Arabidopsis thaliana: one gene and its partner. The protein of the gene in region 2 interacts with the protein of the main gene of each other region in a pairwise test. Each region holds a gene or a part of one and is shown on either strand. Other genes may lie near its edges.

The links.
Region 1: the proteins of AT3G11280 (region 2) and AT1G68160 interact in a two-hybrid assay, tested with the Arabidopsis thaliana proteins (one study listed by BioGRID).

The regions. Positions count from the first base shown.
Region 1 is NC_003070.9:25,545,071-25,550,656, reverse strand, and holds AT1G68160 (ZZ-type zinc finger protein, putative (DUF3755)), read left to right. Parts: upstream 1-1,762; 5' UTR 1,763-2,031; coding exon 2,032-2,312; intron 2,313-2,414; coding exon 2,415-2,514; intron 2,515-2,905; coding exon 2,906-2,962; intron 2,963-3,103; coding exon 3,104-3,221; intron 3,222-3,764; coding exon 3,765-3,847; intron 3,848-3,926; coding exon 3,927-3,988; intron 3,989-4,063; coding exon 4,064-4,133; intron 4,134-4,438; coding exon 4,439-4,489; 3' UTR 4,490-4,899; downstream 4,900-5,586. Other genes in the region: WRKY9 (WRKY DNA-binding protein 9), read right to left, coding at 5,042-5,353.
Region 2 is NC_003074.8:3,532,622-3,536,742, forward strand, and holds AT3G11280 (Duplicated homeodomain-like superfamily protein), read right to left. Parts: upstream 2,374-4,121; 5' UTR 2,001-2,373; exon of another isoform or gene 1,775-2,000; 5' UTR 1,773-1,774; coding exon 1,369-1,772; intron 1,244-1,368; coding exon 856-1,243; 3' UTR 590-855; downstream 1-589. Other genes in the region: AT3G11290 (Myb/SANT-like DNA-binding domain protein), read right to left, coding at 3,145-3,738, 3,811-4,121.

The DNA of each region.
Region 1 (5,586 bases), on a different chromosome or scaffold from region 2:
TAGCTAGGACTTACTTACATGATGAGGACTATATATATGAGAAAAAAACTGTGAATTAAGGTTGGGATTAAAGTCTTAAAGAAACCAAAAGCAGGGATAATGTAGAAATTTGGAGATGCTAAGGCCACAAGTTAATAGTTGAGACTTGATAGATATGATAACTTATTTGTTTTGTTTTTTGTTTTTTTTGTAGTTAATAACATTGTAAATCAGTAAAACCAAAATCTAGTTCCTGCCAACAATTTTGAAATTAAAATGTATGGATCACCTTAATGAGCGAAAGAGTGCATCAAGTCCAACAACAAAGTCTTTCTCTTCTTCATAACATAATGTTCGGAGTTAAATTAACTTGAATGAAACAAATCTTTAATTAATTATATTGATTTGCATTATTAGGAAACTGTTCAGATTAGCCTACCAAAAAAAAGGAAACTGTATTACTGTTAGTGGAGCAAGTATAATGTGCAGTTTATTGGGCTCATAGCATTTTAGAGCCCAAATTTATTCGTTTCTTAAGCAAAATCTTAAATGCGTATAAAATTAGTCTTTTACAAATATAGCATGTGGCCCAATATAAACGTCAGGCCTGATAATATGTTTAAGTGTCCATGACTTTTAACATGTTTCATTTGATAAGCATTTTTTACCAGAAGCTTATGTTAATTCACTTATACGGGTTGGGGATAATGAAAATTGAATTTGGACTAATAGAGCATACATCAATCGAGGAAAATTGCAACGACAAAGAAACGACGGTACATCAATTTTACCTTAGTAAAATCTTGATAAGATTTGAAGTGTGAGTTAATAACAAATTTTAAAAAACCTAACTTATCTAGTGAAAAAAAATGAAAATTATAAAAGCTGATGGCATTTAGATAGTAAACAGAAATCAAAATTGTTAAGTGATAGTAGTCTTGTTGCAAATGATAAGTCCACTGAGAACATGACATCGAGGATCGAGTCTCGCTCCTTATAAATGTTGACAAAAAAAAACAGAAATCAAAACATCATTTTGGTGTATGAATATATTTCTTGATCTATTTAGTGTATCAATAATTTCTTAAATATCAAAAAAAAAAAAAAAAACTCTTCATCGATTTTTATATGCTTGCTTCTGTTATTGGTTCATAACTATGAGTCCAATTATTTTCATAGTCGCATATAATTGTAAAAGTATTGTACGAACGGATCAGTTTATCCCACAATTATTGAGATGCTAAGATTAATTTTTGTATTAACATAAAGAAAAAATATGAATCAAATTCATATATCTTGAGATTTTGACAACGAGGATGTCACACATTGACATTATTAGAAAACAAAAAAAAAAAAAAAAAATCTTGTCTACTTGATAAAACTTTTTGGAATAAAAAAAGTGAGGTAGAAGAAAGAAAGGCATCAAATGCTTTATTATTGGGATTCGCACTATTTACTAAATTCCACGATCTGCCAACCATCTCTTTTATTTATTTACCTATTTTCTTATTTTTTTCTACTAATTTTGGTAGTAAAAAAAAAAAAATGAATATGTTCTTAGTCATATCTCTCCCTTCAATTTAGGAAGAGAATCTTTTCTAAAATTCCCCATTCCTACTTACTTTTATAGTCAAAATCCATTTTTTTCCATTTCAACTAATTGTGTTGGAAAATAATTAATATTAGATTTCAATTAAGTTTATCATCAATATGGTGAAAAGTCATAAAGTAATGTATTAATAATTTTTTCATTATTTGTCTAAAAATCCTTCATTGGCTTATAGCTTACAAGGCTGCTCTGTCTAATATACAGAGGACAAGAGAAAAAAAAAAAAAGAAAAAAAAAATTGTGATTTGGTAAACAAAATCAAATTTTGGTTTCTTTGTGAGAACTTAACTTAGGGTTTATAAAGTTCCAAGCTTTATCCATGGCGTAAGATGATTCACCTTCTCAAAGTTTGATCCTTTTTTCATATCTGATCAAAGGAGAGTTTTGGGTTTGATTTCTAATTGTTAAAGTTTTAATCTTTTTATTTGGGTTTGTGTTCGATTATGTGGATGGCTACTCAATCAAATTCTGGGTTCGATTCTTTGAGTTCTATGATGAGTCGTCACGCTATTAATTTCCAATCTAACACTTCTTCGGAGATGACTCCAATGAGTCCGTACTTGGGGATGAATATGAATATGATCAATGTTGGTTCTCCTGGTTTTCTTCAAACCGGGAATTCTTCGAATGGTTCCGATTCGGGTTCTGGTCTAAAGCTTGATACTTCCATGGTTAGTGAATGGTCAAATGAAGAACAATACATATTGGATGCTGGTCTTGAAAAGTGAGTCTTTCTTGTTTTGTGATTTCTTAACATTAATGAGGATATGAAGATAGTTTTTTGTTCTGTGGAATTTGATATGATCTGATTCTGTGTTTTTTGTAGATATAAGGATATGCCAAGTATTGATATGTATATTCAAATTGGAAACACTTTACCTGATAAAAGTATTCGAGATATTGCTTTGCGGTGTAGGTGGCTGAGGGTAAGTATCTCTCTTCACATATCTGCCTTGTTCTGACGGTTTTTGTAGCTTTCTTGTGACCATTTTTCAGTCATGTAGTTCTACGCTTATGCCATGAATGATATATGTATAGCAAAGAAAAATGATACACAGGGAACAGTTTCTACATGTTCTGATTTCATACATAGCTTCTTAAACTACAGTACACAGAATGAAATGGTTTTGCCTTAGGATGGACTTTTTGGTCTTATTGATGCCTGAGTTGTATCAATATTGAGTTCTTGAGATGAGAATAGTGAGCATAACAGTCTTTGAGTTTTGAACAAAATCTTCTCTTCTCTTATATACTGAATCATTTCTTACTTTTACCTTTTGTCTTCGTCTGTTGATGTACTGACTTTGTTTTGCATAGAGAAAGAGAAGAAAATCAGAAGAATTAAACTGTGGAAGAAGAGCAAGTTCTAGCAAGGTATATTGGAAATTCTTGCCATTTGTTCAATTTTGATGAGTGACTTTTTTGTAAGTTCGATTGAAAGATGATGCTAGGATTGAGATTGAATATCTTTTGATTAATTTAGGTTTTTGTACTAAAAGATTTATATTTCTTCAGGGCAAGCAGGTGGAATCGTCGTCTAAGTCAAGCATTCCCTCTGTTTTGCCTCATAACATGGCTTCATATCCTTTCTCAGGGCCATCTACAAGCACCAGTAAACAAATTACGTCTGAAGGTTAACATCTATCTTTATCTGAGAGATTTCCACCTGAATTTGCTAACTCCAGGTCTTTTTTTTCATTGACATGCACACATTAACATCATATTTTGTTTTCAAAAGGAGGCAATACGTTTTGATGTATGTATTATGGTGCAAATGTCGTTTAAGTATGTATTTTGTTATATAAATAAGTTCATAGGGGATTAGTGTATTTCAGCTAGACTTTTAGCTTCTTGGGACGATGCTAACATAACTACGTCTCTAAAGTAGTTTAGTCTTGGAAGAAGCCTTTACCCATAGATACTGAAATTGGTTTCTTAACTGCATTGTCCTTCTCTAGAGGTGCATTCTTGAGATTATTTATTTCATACATCTAGTAAAGGAGTATAATGACTATTGTATGTTTAAATGGTGAAATTCTATTTAAGTCCGCTCTCTGATCCTATTACCTTGTAAAGATGATCCTTTAAGCTCTCTTTCATATGAAGTTTTGTTGAAGTCACAATAATCTTTAGTCTCTTTTCTTTTCTTACTGATTCTTTCGTGGTTCTGTTTCAGATTTAAGTAGCTATGCAACAAATCTTATAGAACAGAATGTACGAGCTTTTAGTCAAATTAGAGCTAATCTCTCCTCATATAAGGTAAGTTCTAGATTACCTTGTTTAAAGGAATGCAAATGTGTTCTTGCTAAAACCGCTCCGTAATGATAATTGCAAACAGGCAGGGGATAACCTAGATCTCTTTCGTCAGGCAAGGAACAACCTTATCACCATCCAAAATGAGTAAGTTGATACTTTAAACATTTTGTGTATAAGTTTTGTGGAGCTTAGTGACCAGACGTTGTCTTGATTTGGCAGGATAAATAATATGCCTGGATTGATGAACAAGATGCCACCATTGCCAGTCACAATCAATGATGATCTCTCGGTGAGTAATACTACTTTAGTAAGTTAATAGGCTGCTCACTTTTGCATTAACAGTCCATTGTTTTAGATATCAAAATGTCCACATCACCCATTTGCTTGTTTTACCTCAGACACTACCGTAGTTCAAACCCCATATCTCTGGTTCAAGTGCTCAAAATATAGAATTATTGTGCTTCTAACTAGCTGAGTATCTTAAGACCAGTTTTTCAATGTTTTGGTTTGTAGAAATGTCTATCAAGAGCAAATAGAGCAGAAGAATAATAGCTTCCCAATATCAATGACTTTGGTTTCCTCGATTTGTACCAGGTGATGATGCCATTCAATACGATGCAAAGTGGCGGCTTCCATAGGAAGTAGAAGTCTTAGGAAATCATCTGGTTTCCCTTAGTTACCTGTAAATTATCCTAAAGAAGCTGGAGGAGGTAAAAAAAAGCTCATCAAATGTTGGGAAGTTTGTAGAAATGTGATTCTTTCGTAACACCAACGATCTTTATTGCTGCGCGGGATGTTGAAACAAGACATAATATAACGAATGTAGGGGTTCTTGGTCCTGGCTCCTAACTAAAAAACCTTCTTAACAAGTTCTATTAGATAAACTTAGTTCAATTAGTGTCTTGGAGAATTTCTAAGCGATCGATGTGTATAAAAAAAGATTCTATTGAAGAGCGTGTTGAGATTTGCATCTTTAATCTTTTGATCTTTTGGTGTGTTGTTTTGGTACCCATTTTTTCTTAGCATTAATCAATCTTTATTTTTCATAAGCCAACATTGAACGAAATAAAACAATCCGAAACCTTCGATGTTGTATATACGAAACATAAATGTTAGAAACGAGAACAAGAAGAAAGGCAAAGAATCCATAATGACAAATAATGGGACCAAAGAACAAGCATAGAGATATAGGAAACTCTACATCATCCAATTTAATCGGTTTTGAGAAGATGAAACGTGATCTCCTCTAGATGGACCATCAAAGTTCAAGCTTCTTATGGTTCGATTGTTGTAGCTGCTATTTTGTGGGTATGTAATCAAAGAAGAGTCTATGGCTTGAGGAGTTTGGTAATAGGAAGGATGAGAGAGGTTGTCACTGGAATCGAGTAACAAGAATGGAGAAGTAGAGGCAGTGGAAGCCATGGCTGTTGCTCCGACCGGAAGTGGATGGTTATGTGTTCCTTCGTAGGTTGTTATCAGTATTGACATGTCTTCTAAACACCTTTGCACCTTCACAATGTAACAAATCTCATTATCAACTATATATATATACATAGTTTCATTCCATTCAAATGTGGTTATGACATGCTATGAATTCTACATTGGACATAAAGTAATATATAAAGTACATAGACGAATCAACTCATTACCAATTCGTTTTGAGTTGGAAGATCTATAAAATACTACGTTATCAGTAAATTGATCAAAATGGTTCCCTAACATAAAATCTTATCTTTGAATAA
Region 2 (4,121 bases):
TAAATCCGATTTCTTTGAATATGAACTATGATAAAACTATTGCTTGATTAAGTGTAGCCTTTGGTCCAACTTTGCATATGAACTGTGATAAATAATATTTCAAAGTTGTTTCAATATAAATTTATCAAAGTTATTTCAAGTTGCATAATTCAAATGTGAGCAGTGTTTAGATTGGGGCACCAAATGATTAAAAAATAAAATAAACATTTCATTCATATATGTTTTTTATACAAATGACACCATTATACGTAATTCTAAATACGTTAATATATATATGAGTCAGGAGGTTGGTGTAATAGATGAGAAGAATGAGGTTCTTTGGTCAGAAGTGGAAAGCAGACTCAGCCTCTATTTTATACTCAAATCAATTCTTCATACCTTCCACCAAAACTTTACTCAATATTTAAAACTATACTATAGCCATCTTCTTAAATAAATCTAACCCAAAACATGTTTCACAAATTTCTCATTTTTGTGTGGTGTTTGATCTCTTTGAGTCTTTTTTTTTTTTTTAATCTCTTTAAGTCTTTATTACAGTATATCTTTATAATTTGCATTTAACACCATAAAATAGATATATTGTGGTAAATTGTTAGGGTTATCAACTTGTCATAAAGCACAAGTACTCTTTTTCACAACTATAAGTCTATAATTTAATCGAAAAGAAAACACAGATTTTTTTTAACATAACAGGTATTTAGTAGACAGAAACACAAAAATACAGAGTAAAAACAAGTTCTTACTTTTAAACCACACAATACATATATAATAAACTTGGTTTTGCTTATATTTCTCTAATTACAGTTTCAAAACTCAGATTCTTAAGAACGCTGAGTTTGGGGATTCTATGTTGCCTTAAGCTCCGGCACTGAAGACATTTTCTCCGGCGAAGTTAATGGCAGCTTCGAATGAAGTTGGTGATGGAGAAAACAGATTTTCTGAAGAGAGATTCTGACCCATAAATATTACTCCCTCCTCCGTATCATCCTTATCGATAAACCCTAAATCAGGGAGAATATCTCTATGATCGGAAAAGGAACGGTTGAGATTGGCATTGAGAAGATTGCCGGTTGTGATGTCATGGATACTTGGCCTGCGTTTGTCCTTGGCTCCGGAGAGCTGTCTCTGGTAATACTTTTGGGCGTGGCTCGCCACTTGCGTTGGCGTCTTTGACACCACGAAGTTTCTCGATATGTTTCTCCAATCTCCTTTACCGTACTTGAGAAGGCCTAACAAGAATCTCCTGCAAGGAACAAGAAACAGAGCATTGAAAACCCTAAGAAAAAAGGGGATGACTTGCGTTGCAAGGAACCTAGGAAGAGTGACTTATATGGAAAGAATTCTGTAGAGATGAAAGAGTGTCTTAACCTGTGTTCTTCCTCTGTCCAAGGGACTCCTTTCTTTCGATCTTGATCAGATCCTCTAGCTCCACTAGGCCGTTTACGACACATGTCCGTGTCAAACCCCAAGGGAGAAGAAGCTGCAGGATAACCAGGAATGGGAACACGTCCTGCTTCAATATCGAAAACGTCTTCTTCAAGCTTACTATATTGCTTCATAACATCAAAAACAGTCTTTCCAGGGATCATGGAAGCAACTTTAAACCAGCGATCAGGCGAGTCTTCAGCGTATATCGCAAGAGCTCGTTCGAACATCTTGTTCTCTTCTTTAGTCCAGCTACCGCTACTCGAGCTGTGTAAGCTCACCATCTCTTGAACAACGAACCGGTGGTCAGAGATAGGTAGGTGAGAGAATGGATGCAGAGTCTCCATACCTAAAAACAAAAAAAGGGAAGAATAAGTTTCAACTACAAACACAGCTCAAAAAAGTCCATTTTCTTGCTCTATGTGTGGAGGAAGCTTAAAAGATAGATTTGTGATATAAGGAAATAATGGAAGCTTTTATATATAAGGTTTAATGATAATATAGTAGGAATCAAAGAAGAAGAAAAACAAAAGGGAAGGAAAAATGAAGAATCGTATACTGAGGGAATCAAGAACCTGATTTGGGTAAGAGATTTGAAGCATATATAAAACCGACCCTCGAATCTGAAAAAAGACTCAAAGCTTTGAAGAATTTATGAGAATCTGCAAAAGTGAGTCGTCGAAGGAAGACAAAAACAGCAAAGCAAAGCCCACTTGAGAGATAGAGAGAGAGGAGAAGACTCAGAAGCTGAAGAAGACCCAGTAAAGAGAGAGAGATAGTGAAGGAAGAGTAATATACAGAGAGAGAAGAGTCACTGTAGATATGGGAACAGAGTGAAGAGAAAGAAAAGGAAAGGTTTCTTTATTTTTGGGAAGATTTGGCGTATTTGGATTGGAGAACAGCGAATGGCACCACTCCACTCGGATTCTTGCGGTTCATTTTTCTCAGAAAGAAAAAAAAAGTTGATTGATCTATTTGATTCTATTATTTAATTCTTTGGAATACGACAAATTTGTTCTATCGCCTTTTTTCTGGTCCACACGGAGACATACTGTATGGTTTTGTTATAAATATAATGTTTTGATAATTACAATCAAAAGCGCCTGTAGCTCAGTGGATAGAGCGTCTGTTTCCTAAGCAGAAGGTCGTAGGTTCGACCCCTACCTGGCGCGATTTATCTCTTTTTATATCTTAATTTTGTCTCCTTAAGGAGGTTGTTTAGGATTAAGTTCTTACCTGGAATTAAGTGATGATTGGTTTTAGTATCTATGCGTCGGTGGAAAATATTTTTAGAAAGTGTGACAGATTCAATAGCTAAAGCTCATTAAATCCCACTATCTCTCCATTTTACTTGTGATGCTCACATAAGTTTTAAATTACTTTCTGCAAACAGAGAAAATCAAATAAAAGTATATCGGTTGTATCAACTAATCAAACTGTACAAGGTTTTTTAACTTAAGTTAATTTTGAAGAAGAGAAGGCTACATAGAGTCATAGACGATAGGATACGAATGCTTTGAAGTTTATTTCTCATCTGCAATAGAGACAAGAGTAATTTCTTGCGACAAAAGTTAACCAGTAACTCTTATAATATTTCGACTGTCATAAAATCTTTCAAGGAACCTAATAATATAACATCTCACACTGTTCAAAAGATAAATCAAGAGTGTTTAGCATAATAAGACATAAGCAGAAGAAGTTTGGGAGAATATGACGATCTTAGGCAGCAATGGTAAGGCCACCAGATCGAAGTCTAAGCAGCCAAGACATTCTCAAACTTGAGTTCTTCAACAGCAAGAAAATCTCTCTGTACTCTTTCTTCACAAACAAATCCAACGCAAACAAGTAAAGATCACTACCTTGCTCAACCTCTTCCATGGAGTCCAAACACTCAATGCATTCCCCAATGGTATACTCGTACTGCCTAACCGATGCACTCACTGGACTCTCCTTCATCAGCTCAGTTTTTAACCTGTGGCATCCCGGAGTTACAATTTCAACATCTTGTAACCGAGACTCTGCAAAACCAACACTGTTAAATCTCCGGTGCTGCGGAGTAGGCTGCTCATCATCGTCATCATTGTCATCTTCATCAGCTCCACCTTCACTACCTGAGACTGGCTCGTTTGTGTAAAGTGTTGATAATGGAGTTGGGTCATGTAGCTGTGGTGATTCGGAATGATGATCAAGCACTCTCCTGCGATAAGAACGGAAATAGGCTTTTCCTGGTTCTATAAGTCCTTTGAAGATGGTTGCTAGTTTATCCGCGTGAGGAAGTTGTTTCCTTCTGAATGGTGCTGCTCTATGATTCTCCTGTTAATCAAAGAACCAATGTTAAGCTGCAAACTTAATCAACTAATATAAAAAGTCGAGTAGCGTTTATACCTTCAAGTAGTTTTTCCAGTCTTCATCAGTAGCACCAAATGTTCGAGAAGTTGCATCCCATTTCATGACAGGAGCACCAATCACTTGACACCAGATCTTCCACGATTTCCTGGTGCAATCCCAATGATTCTTGAGTTGCGGTCTGGTGAAGCTTTTACCGGTATTCTGATTGATAGTCTCAAGGATCATTTTCCAAGTTTCCTTTGGATAATGTGAGTCAGGTCTGTTTCCTTTTAAAGCCTCTTGGAACAACAAATCAACAAACAGCTCATGTGAAGACGGTGACCAGTATCCTTTCGACTGAGGACTCG